Linked DNA regions of Ovis aries. The protein of the gene in region 1 purifies or fractionates together with the protein of each later gene. This does not show direct contact. Links are inferred from orthologs where the notes say so. Each region holds a gene or a part of one and is shown in the gene's direction. Other genes may lie near its edges.

Region 1 (4,940 bases):
ACTCAGTCGTGTCCGACTCTTAGCGACCCCATGGACTGCAGCCCACCAGGCTCTTCCGTCCATGGGATTTTCCAGGCAAGAGTGCTGGAGTGGGGTGCCATTGCCTAGTGGCTCTGAATCCTTGTTCTACCATGTAGTCATTGTTTAATCATGCCTAGATTACTCTCTAATAAATCACTGTAAAATGTAGGCCACCTAGGTGGCATGATTGTGTCGATCTAATGAAATACAAAAGCTTTCTAAATCCCCTTCTCATTGGATTCACCACAGAGTAGTCAGACCAATCACGTTGAAATGGGAGTCTGATCATACCACTCCTCTGTTCAGAAACCTGCAATGATTGCCCATCTCACTGAGAATAAGAGCCAGTCTTTGCTGTGGTCTACAAGGCCCGAAAAGGCCTTCTGCTCTTCTTACTCTCTCTCTAAACACACTAACCTTCTAACTAACTGTTCCTCTGAAACTCTGGGCAACTTGCCACCTGTGCTCCCCCCATTGCTGTCCTCCCAAATATGTCCTGGCATTCTCCTTCACCGCTTTCAAGTCTTTTTGCTCAAATGCCATCTTCTCAGTGAGATCTACTTGGATCCCTCTGTTTAAAACTGCATTCCTCTTCTCTGCTTTATTTTACTCTATTCAGTTCAGTTCAGTCGCTCAGTCGTGTCTGACTCTTTGCGACCCCATGAATCACAGCACGCCAGGCCTCCCTGTTCATCACCATCTCCTGGAGTTCACTCAGACTCACGCCCATCGAGTCCGTGATGCCATCCAGCCATCTCATCCTCTGTCGTCCCCTTCTCCTCCTGCCCCCAATCCCTCCCAGCATCAGAGTCTTTTCCAATGAGTCAACTCTTCTCATGAGGTGGCCAAAGTACTGGAGTTTCAGCTTTAGCATCATTCCTTCCAAAGAAATCCCAGGGTTGATCTCCTTCAGAATGGACTGGTTGGATCTTGCAGTCCAAGGGACTCTATAGCTCTAACTTATTTCTCACATTTTATGTATGAATGAACAGTTCGGAAATGTGTAGAATACAATACTGGGTATATTGTTCAATTCAGTTCAGTCGCTCAGTTGTGTCCGACTCTTTGCGACCCTGTGAATTGCAGCACGCCAGGCCTCCCTGTCCATCACCAACTCCTGGAGTTCACTCAAAATCACGTCCATCCAGTCGGTGAGGCCATCCAGCCATCTCATCCTCTGTCATCCCCTTTTCCTCCTGCCCCCAATCCCTCCCAGCATCAGAGTCTTTTACAGTGAGTCAACTCTTCACATGAGGTGGCCAAAGTACTGGGGTTTCAGCTTTAGCATCATTCCTTCCAAAGAACACCCAGGGCTGATCTCCTTTAGAATGGACTGGTTGGATCTCCTTGCAGTCCAAGGGACTCTCAAGAGTCTTCTCCAATGCCACAGTTCAAAAGCACACACAGGTATATTGTAGATTCTACATATAAATTATATTCCCTTTATTTGGCCAGTGGTTTGAGGTCTGAAGTGATAAAGCGTAGGGGTCTTAGGGTATAGGATGTGCTGGTATACCTGATCAACCTCTTAGAGGTTATTTCAGTGCCAGGCCCTCTTGAGTAGAAATATTAATAGTTAACACGTTCGTGCATGGATTCATTGATTCATGCAAACAAATATTTCTTGGGGCCCTTCTATGCGCCAGTTCTTGAAAACAGCTATTACAAGCATTTCACTCAGGATAACGTCTTTTTCGTAACCTCCCCACAGCACGCGGCGGTGGAAGACACATACTCCTGCCAGCAGAGGGCGTCCCCTCGCCCTCGCGGCGTGTTCTGGGCCCACGACGCTTTCAGGCTCCCACGCTCGCTCCCGAGCGCGGCCCCGCCTGCCGCGTCACGTGACGCGGCCGCCGAACCAGAGCGGCCGGTCCCAAACCGAGCTAAATTCGTTGCCAGTGGCCTCTGCGGGTGCCACCACAGAGGCTCATCTGAAGGAGTGGGGAGGCTCGTGGAGCCGATGCTTCCTCTTCCGATTTCAGGTCGGCTCCTGTTCCCTCTCACCTTTCGCCGCTGCCGTCTCCCCGAGTGTTTGCATGAGCTCTCTCGTACGGGGAGGCCCCGGTGACCATGTAGGGAGGGAAGAGCGAGGAAGCTCCGGGAGTGAGGGACGAGGTCAGCGCTGTGTGCACGCCGGCGCCCACCACATCCACAGTGCGGGCCGGGGGGCCCCTCGGCCCAGGTGGGACACTCGGGCCTGCAGTAGTGGCCTGGCACGGAGCTCCACGAAATCTCGCGCGGTCTCGCGAGAGTCTAAGTTGAAGGAATATGGCGACGTCTAATCTGTTAAAGGTAAGACCCTCAGTCCGTCTTGGATTTCTACTCCGGGAGCGGTGGGTTCAGCTCTCGGGGAATGGCTCGGTTCTGGTTCAGCGGCGAAATGGGGGAGTGTTCAGGGGTTGTCTACCGGAAGGGAAGCCAGGGAGGCAGCCGCCGAGGAGTGGAACGCGATTCTCCGGCCTTGGGGTCGAGAGGCCCTGGTTGTCCCTGGTGCCGGTTGCCTGGTGTATGAAAGGCCCGGCCGAGGGCCGACGGCGGGCAGTGGTCTCAAGGGGCCAGCGCTGGCTCGGGACCCCGGAAGAAAGGTGGTGCAGCGTCCTGACGGATCGGTCAGTTAGTGTCCTTAGGGTCTCAGTTTCTTCTGAAGCGGGAGTCTTGAGACGCATTAAAAAAAAAAAAAAGAAAAGAAAATCCCAGAAAATGTTGCTAACAGGTTTTAATGACTTGGATCCCCACCTCCTCAGTTTCTCTTCTCATTCTGTCTGCGCGGAATTCCAAGTCAGACGGCAGCGCCTGAAGCCCCAACTCCCTCCCTTAACTGCGGGCTACACCTTCTCTTCTGTTCTTCCTTTCTTGAGTTCGTATGTTTACCCTTTTTAACTTAGGAAACTGTTCCTCAACCCCATTACAGCACGCAACCAGATGACTACAGTGGAAGCACTGCCGTTGTCTTAGGGCTTAGGAAAGTTGCCTTATCAAAGACAACCGTTAAAGTTAGTTTTATGTATTTGGGATAGCAAGGGGGATCTAGGCCTAGAGAAGCGGATTCTTTACCATCAGTTACAAAGTTGAGAGGAGAAGGAGGAAGACCTGACACTAGTTTCGTCTGTGGTATGTTTGTAGTAGGCAATACTTTATACCTTAAAAGTACTACTGAAATGGGGGTAGTGGATGAACTACTTCTCCCTCAAAAACCCTGTCAATTAGGCCTTCAGACAGTGTTGATAGAGAATAGAAAATATATTAAAACTTACTGTAACCTCACTCTTGTCTTCTTTAGACTACTGATACTAACTGTATTAGTCCCTCTAATTTTACTAATTTTAGAGGCAGTGTGTCTTCTTTTGGAGAAGGGAATGGCAACCCACTCCAGTGTTCTTGCCTGGAGAATTCCATGGATAGAGGAGCCTGGTCGGCTACAGTTCAGAGGGTCACAAAGAGTGACACTACTGAGCAACTAACAAACATATATACACCGCCCCCGCCCCTCCCCGCCCCGCCCCTCCCCTCCTACCCAACCCCGTGTCTTCTTTTAAAAGAGGGAGGGACCTAGAACTAGACCTAATTTCTGCTACTTAGAATTTCTGCTCCATGACTTTGGGCAAGTTTCTCTCCGTTCCTGAGTTTCCTCATCAATATAGTGAAATTATCAATAGCACTTACTTCATAGGAACTTTGTGAAGATTGAGTTAGTATATGTATAATCTTAAAACAGCGACTGGATCTTAACTGGCATGCAATACACATAAATTGCTACAGTTACTACTGCTGTTTCTCTAAGAAGACAAGTTCATGGGAGTTGAGTAACTCACTTCTTTTATAGCAGTATAGCAAAGTTCTAATATATTAATTCAGAAAGAAAACTAACTTGCAAAGACTCCTGTTAATGTATCCATGTATTTACATAACCAATAGTGTATGTTATTAATTGAAATGTGTTGAAGAAGTAATTGTGAATTTTTGACTTACTGATAATGTGGATGTAAAGCAAAGTCTTTTTTTCCTCCCAGATTTGTGTCTCAGGAAAGAGTGAGTCACTTTATTCTACTCCATACAAAGCCTTACAAAGCATTGTTTGGAGGAGATAAAAGTCTGAAGCTCCTTCGTTCAATACTCTTAAGTCGTTACCTTGTAGAGATTATGAATCTGTATGTATAGCACACACCCACCTATAAACTGAAAACACCTGAATGTATAGAAATAGGTGCTTAAGACTTAGGTTAAAAAGATCATAATTCGAGCAGTTCTGTAACTCAACTTTTATAAATAAAAGGAAAGTGATAATGTTCTGACAAAACTGGTAAAAGTCACAGTCTCTAGGGAATACAAAAAGATGACAGATACACTGGAAAATTTTCAATAAAATTATTTAATGAGATGTTGAAAAGGGGGTAAAAGAATTTCTCAATATTTTATGTAGTATGTGATTTTTAAATACATACAACTAACAGTGGATATTATAAGTAGACATTTGATTCTTTTATCTGTATCACCAAAAGTTTCCTTATTTACATTGGTCAGAAAAGTTTTTTTTCCTTTTTTTCTCTCCTCATTGAAGTGTGTGGATGGGGGGGATGGCGGGGGTTGTCTTGTATTTATGCCTTTAGAAATATTTAATGAAAAAGTAGGAAGTTTGTCTTGGAGAAATGGCAGGGAGACCCTTACCAGAATTCATAGGGTCATTTGAATTAAAGTCTGGAGGAGGTTGAGGGGAAGGGATGGACTGGGAGTTTGGGATTAGCAGATGCAAACTACTGTACATATAGAAAATAGAACGGATAAACAACAAGGTGCTACTTACTATATAGCACAAGGAACTATATTTAATATACTGTGATAAACCACAGTGGAAAAGAACATTGGAAAGATTGTATATATTTATGTGTGTGTGTGTATAACTGAATCACTTTGCTATAAAG
Region 2 (4,229 bases), on another chromosome or scaffold:
AGAAAAGAGAAAGCGCCCAGAAGGACATCTCAAGGTCTGGATCTCTCCAGGGAAAATGTGCCCAACGTTTTGCTGGGGGCTTGGAGTTTCCTTTGGGATGGCCACTGACTGACAATTATAAAATATACTTGCTCTGGCTCCCAAGTTCAAAAACTTTATTGTCAGGAAGTAGTGATTTCTTCTTACAGGCCTCCAACATCTTTTCCAGGGACACATCGGGTCAGGGAAGATTTTGTACCATATTCCGCTCTTACTCTCGGGGCGCACAGGTAACATCCCCTGAACTGGGAGGTCAAACTGACTTTAATAATGACTTTCGGAATGCTCGTTAATGGATACTTGGAGGACAAAGCAATTAGCTCACATATAAGCTGATGCCGGAGTCTAAAGTTGTGCTGTGGACTGTTTGGTGACTCCCAAGCCTTCAGCATCAGGGGGGTGTGGTTGCATGTGTTGTATTTGTACACGCGTGTGCATGAGTGGTGTACATTCACGTGCATTTATGCATGTACACAGATAAATATGCAGGCATGTGGGTTGTGTGTGCACCACACTCACATGTGTGTGTCTGCACGTGTGTGGGAACTCTCTGTCCAGGTGGGCGGGCTCTGCAGTCCCCCCACATTCCATGTCCCTAGACCAGCTCATGAATGTGGGGAACTGAGTTCTACTACCCAACTTACCTTCGCATTTGAGGGTTTCTCCATGAGCTTATGAAATTATCATTGGAAATGATCATATAGCTGCTACATTTGGCACATAAATTTTAAAAAATGTGTTTTGCATTAAAATAAGTAGAATGACTGTTTAGCTCGTTGTGAGTGTGTGCCTGAGTGGCCTGCGTGCTGGCCAGTCTCTCCACAAGTGACTGTTGTCTCCCCAGGGTGTGATCCTGGTATACGACATCGCGAACCGCTGGTCCTTTGATGGCATCGACCGGTGGATTAAGGAGATCAATGAGGTACAACGGGGCAGGGCTCCCTCCCTGTGGGCCCATGGAGGGGTGGGCAGGGGAGCCAGGGCACAAGGCTCCAGCCACAGCGGGGAGGACATGTCACCTCTTAGCACAGGACGAGGCCCTGCACACAGTCAGGTGGGTTGACCAGCGCTAACTAGGCTGCTATCTGCGGGCACCCTGACCGGCCCAGCTGCCAATGGAGACGTCTAGTGGTCAGTCCCATCCACTGTTGTAAGTGTCCTGGGGTGGCCGTAACAGCTCACCACAGACTGTGTGGCTGAACACAAAGGAAACTCATTCTCTGCGTTCTGGGGTCAGAGTCCAAAATCAAGGTGTTGGCTCCCTCTGTCTGAGAGGAGGGTCCTTCCTGCCTCCTCCAGCTTCTGGTGTTGCTGACAGTCCCTGGCCTTTGATCTCTGGATGCCTCACTCCATCTCTGCTCTGCCGTCATGTGCCTTCTTCCCTGAGCGTCCTGTGTCCTCTCCCCTTCTTATAAGGTCACAGTGACGGGATGTCAGGTCCACCCTAAGATCTTAACTAATTCCATCTGCAAAGCCCCTATTTTCAAAAAAGGACATATTCTGAAGTTCTACATGTATATCATCCCAGGGCACCTGTCATTACAACAACAAAGCTTGTGCCTGACCCACTTTCCTTGCCTCTTTGTCACCCTTTAGCATGCCCCAGGGGTCCCTAAGATCCTGGTGGGGAACCGCCTGCACCTGGCCTTCAAGCGGCAGGTCCCCACAGAGCAGGCCCAGGCCTACGCAGAGCGCCTGGGTGTGACGTTCTTCGAGGTCAGCCCACTGTGCAATTTCAACATCACTGAGTCCTTTATGGAGCTGGCCAGGATCGTGCTGCTGCGGCACGGGATGGACCGGCTCTGGAGGCCGAGCAAGGGTAGGTGCTCCTCCGGGCTGCCCGGCAGCCCCTCCAGCGGTCAGCCTCCCAGGACCTGCCCCCAGGTCGCTGTCTCCATTCTCATAAATCAGAGCTTCTGCCCCTTGGCACTACAGCCAGCTGGGATGGTGTGTCCTCTAGTGGGGGCATCCCCTATGCTGTGGGTGAGCTGCACCCTTGGTCTCCCTGCCCCCATTTGTGAAAACCACAAATGTCTCCAGATTTTGCCAAATGTCCTAGGGAGTCAAAATCGCCCCCAGTTGAGAAGCACTGTTCTGAAAGTTGTTAGGACCTTGATTCTAAAAGGAAGCAAAGCCTTGGGTTGTGTTTCTTCTGTCTGATGCTCCAGGGGTTGAGGAGTGCCCTGACTGCACCAAGGGTGAGACGCAGTCTCTGCTCCCAGCAGGCCCCTGGGGAGTCCCGCTCTGTTTGAGCAGGGGCTCTGACTCATAAAACGAACAATGTAGCTGAAATATAAGTGACAGCATTTGCTTTTCTGGTGTGTTCTCCAGTATGTCTTTATAAAGCTGATAACACATTATTCTGGGTCAGCTACTCTGTTGGGAAGCACATTTCCTGAAGCGCTTGGCCTCAAGCCCCAAAAGCTGGTTGCATGAATCCTGAGGAGACGTGATTGGCCATTGCAGGCCAGGACTCGTCTCTCAGACCCAGTGGGAGGGACGGTTGTGGTCTCAAGTTTGGAGGCAAACTGGGTTTAAGGAGACAAAAGCAGGACCACCTATTTCTAATTGCCCCCTGTAGGCACAGGGTGGGAGACTGGGCCTTGACGTCTTGCCCCAGAGTCCCAGAGAGGAGGGTGGACAGGCATCCTGCTGCCCCGGGGCTGGCCCCACGCCCAGGACACTGCAAGTGAACCGGGTTTCCTTTTCTTTCCCAAGTCCTGAGCTTGCAGGACCTGTGCTGCCGGGCAGTGGTGTCTTGCACGCCTGCACACCTGCTGGACAAGCTGCCGCTGCCCACGGCCCTCAGGAGCCACCTCAAGTCCTTCTCGATGGCCACCGGCCTGAGCGCCAGGATGGTGCACGGCCGGCCCTGCTCCCTCGCCACCAGCTCCGGCCACAAGAGGACCAGCCTCCGAAAAGCCAAGGGCACCCACCTCCCCCAGAGCCCCCCCAGACGCTGCTCCAGGAACAACTGCAAAGTCTCTTGAGGAGGGTGCAAGGCAGAGGAGGGGCACAGATGGGAGGGGGAGGCCGCTCTGGACCTAGACGCCTGCCAGTGTTGTGACCACGTGGCCCCGAGCAATGAAACCGAGGCTGGTACCCTGCTTACCAGATACTTCTGCATGGATGGGCATGGGGCTCTTATTTCAGACATGTGTTTATAAAGGGAAGAACTCTTGATAACATGGAATTTTGAATGTAACCTATCATGATTGCAGTGCAACTTTTTTCTTGAAATAACTACTTTTTATAAGAATGGTGATATGTTTGTGATGAGTATAAATTCTAGGGACTACAAAAAGTGGAAATGGAGAGAGAAATTAAGAGTTTTTGATGCTATGAGGGGTCTTTTTATAAACCTCCTTTTTAATGTGGAAGCACTAATTTATAAAACGCCATAGATAAGTTAGAGATTACGCACAGCCAATTTGTCCAGCTTGTGTATGAAACGGATTTGATCAAGTTTTTGCTACGTTATTTACTACGTTTTAGGATAAGTGATTTATATGCATATTTTCTGTAAATCTACATTTTTTTGTACAAATGTTTTACAAGTTATGACGCTAAAGGGAAGAAAATGCCAAAGATATTTCTAGTTACAGCAAACACACTGCAGCATGGTTACACCACGTCCAGACTGGCAAGAGAATGTCACTCAGAGCCATTTTCAGCTAAGAGTGAAGCAAACTCTGTTGTTTAAGAATGGATGTTTCCTGACAATAAAAAGCATACTCGTTTCTTGGTAGACTCGTTGGCTGCTTCTTCCTGGTTTTGTGTACTTCCATCACCCTTGATCCCATTTGCTTTATTGCCTATTTCAGTTACCACAGTCAGTGCTAGTACCTGGCATTGGCAACAGGGCTGTGTCCCTGACCTGAACCACCGAGTGAAAAGATGTCTTTTCCTGAAAAGAACGCGGAGGCAGACAGTGGGGCCTCAAGGGGCAGCTGTCCAGCCTGTGTCTGTACAGGAAGAGTGGGAGGTGCTCTGGCCCCAGTGCGTGGGGCATCACTGCCCAGCATGAGTGACGTCAAGATTGGAGCTGACTCTGCCAACACTCCTGGCAGGGCCTCCTTCCTGGTTCTACGGCTTGACTCTCTGTGGCAGATGGAAGATGTAACAATGGATTAAAAAAATAACTCTCAGAGAAGAGGAAACACCCAGTTGTCCTTGCTTTCTGTTAGTAA

Evidence for each region.
Region 2: the proteins of CUL5 (region 1) and RAB40B purify together in Homo sapiens (affinity purification with mass spectrometry; 5 studies listed by BioGRID and IntAct, counting the BioPlex papers as one, with this or other methods). This does not show direct contact. The link is inferred for Ovis aries from reciprocal best matches to the Homo sapiens genes CUL5 and RAB40B.

Annotation. Positions count from the first base shown.
Region 1 is NC_056068.1:17,271,843-17,276,782, forward strand, and holds the start of CUL5 (cullin-5), read left to right. Parts: upstream 1-1,860; 5' UTR 1,861-2,289; coding exon 2,290-2,313; intron 2,314-4,940. UniProt on the Homo sapiens protein: Core component of multiple cullin-5-RING E3 ubiquitin-protein ligase complexes (ECS complexes, also named CRL5 complexes), which mediate the ubiquitination and subsequent proteasomal degradation of target proteins.
Region 2 is NC_056064.1:49,672,671-49,676,899, forward strand, and holds the end of RAB40B (ras-related protein Rab-40B), read left to right. Parts: intron 1-208; coding exon 209-269; intron 270-883; coding exon 884-961; intron 962-1,635; coding exon 1,636-1,858; intron 1,859-2,757; coding exon 2,758-3,029; 3' UTR 3,030-3,787; downstream 3,788-4,229. UniProt on the Homo sapiens protein: RAB40B small GTPase acts as substrate-recognition components of the ECS(RAB40B) E3 ubiquitin ligase complex which mediates the ubiquitination of target proteins.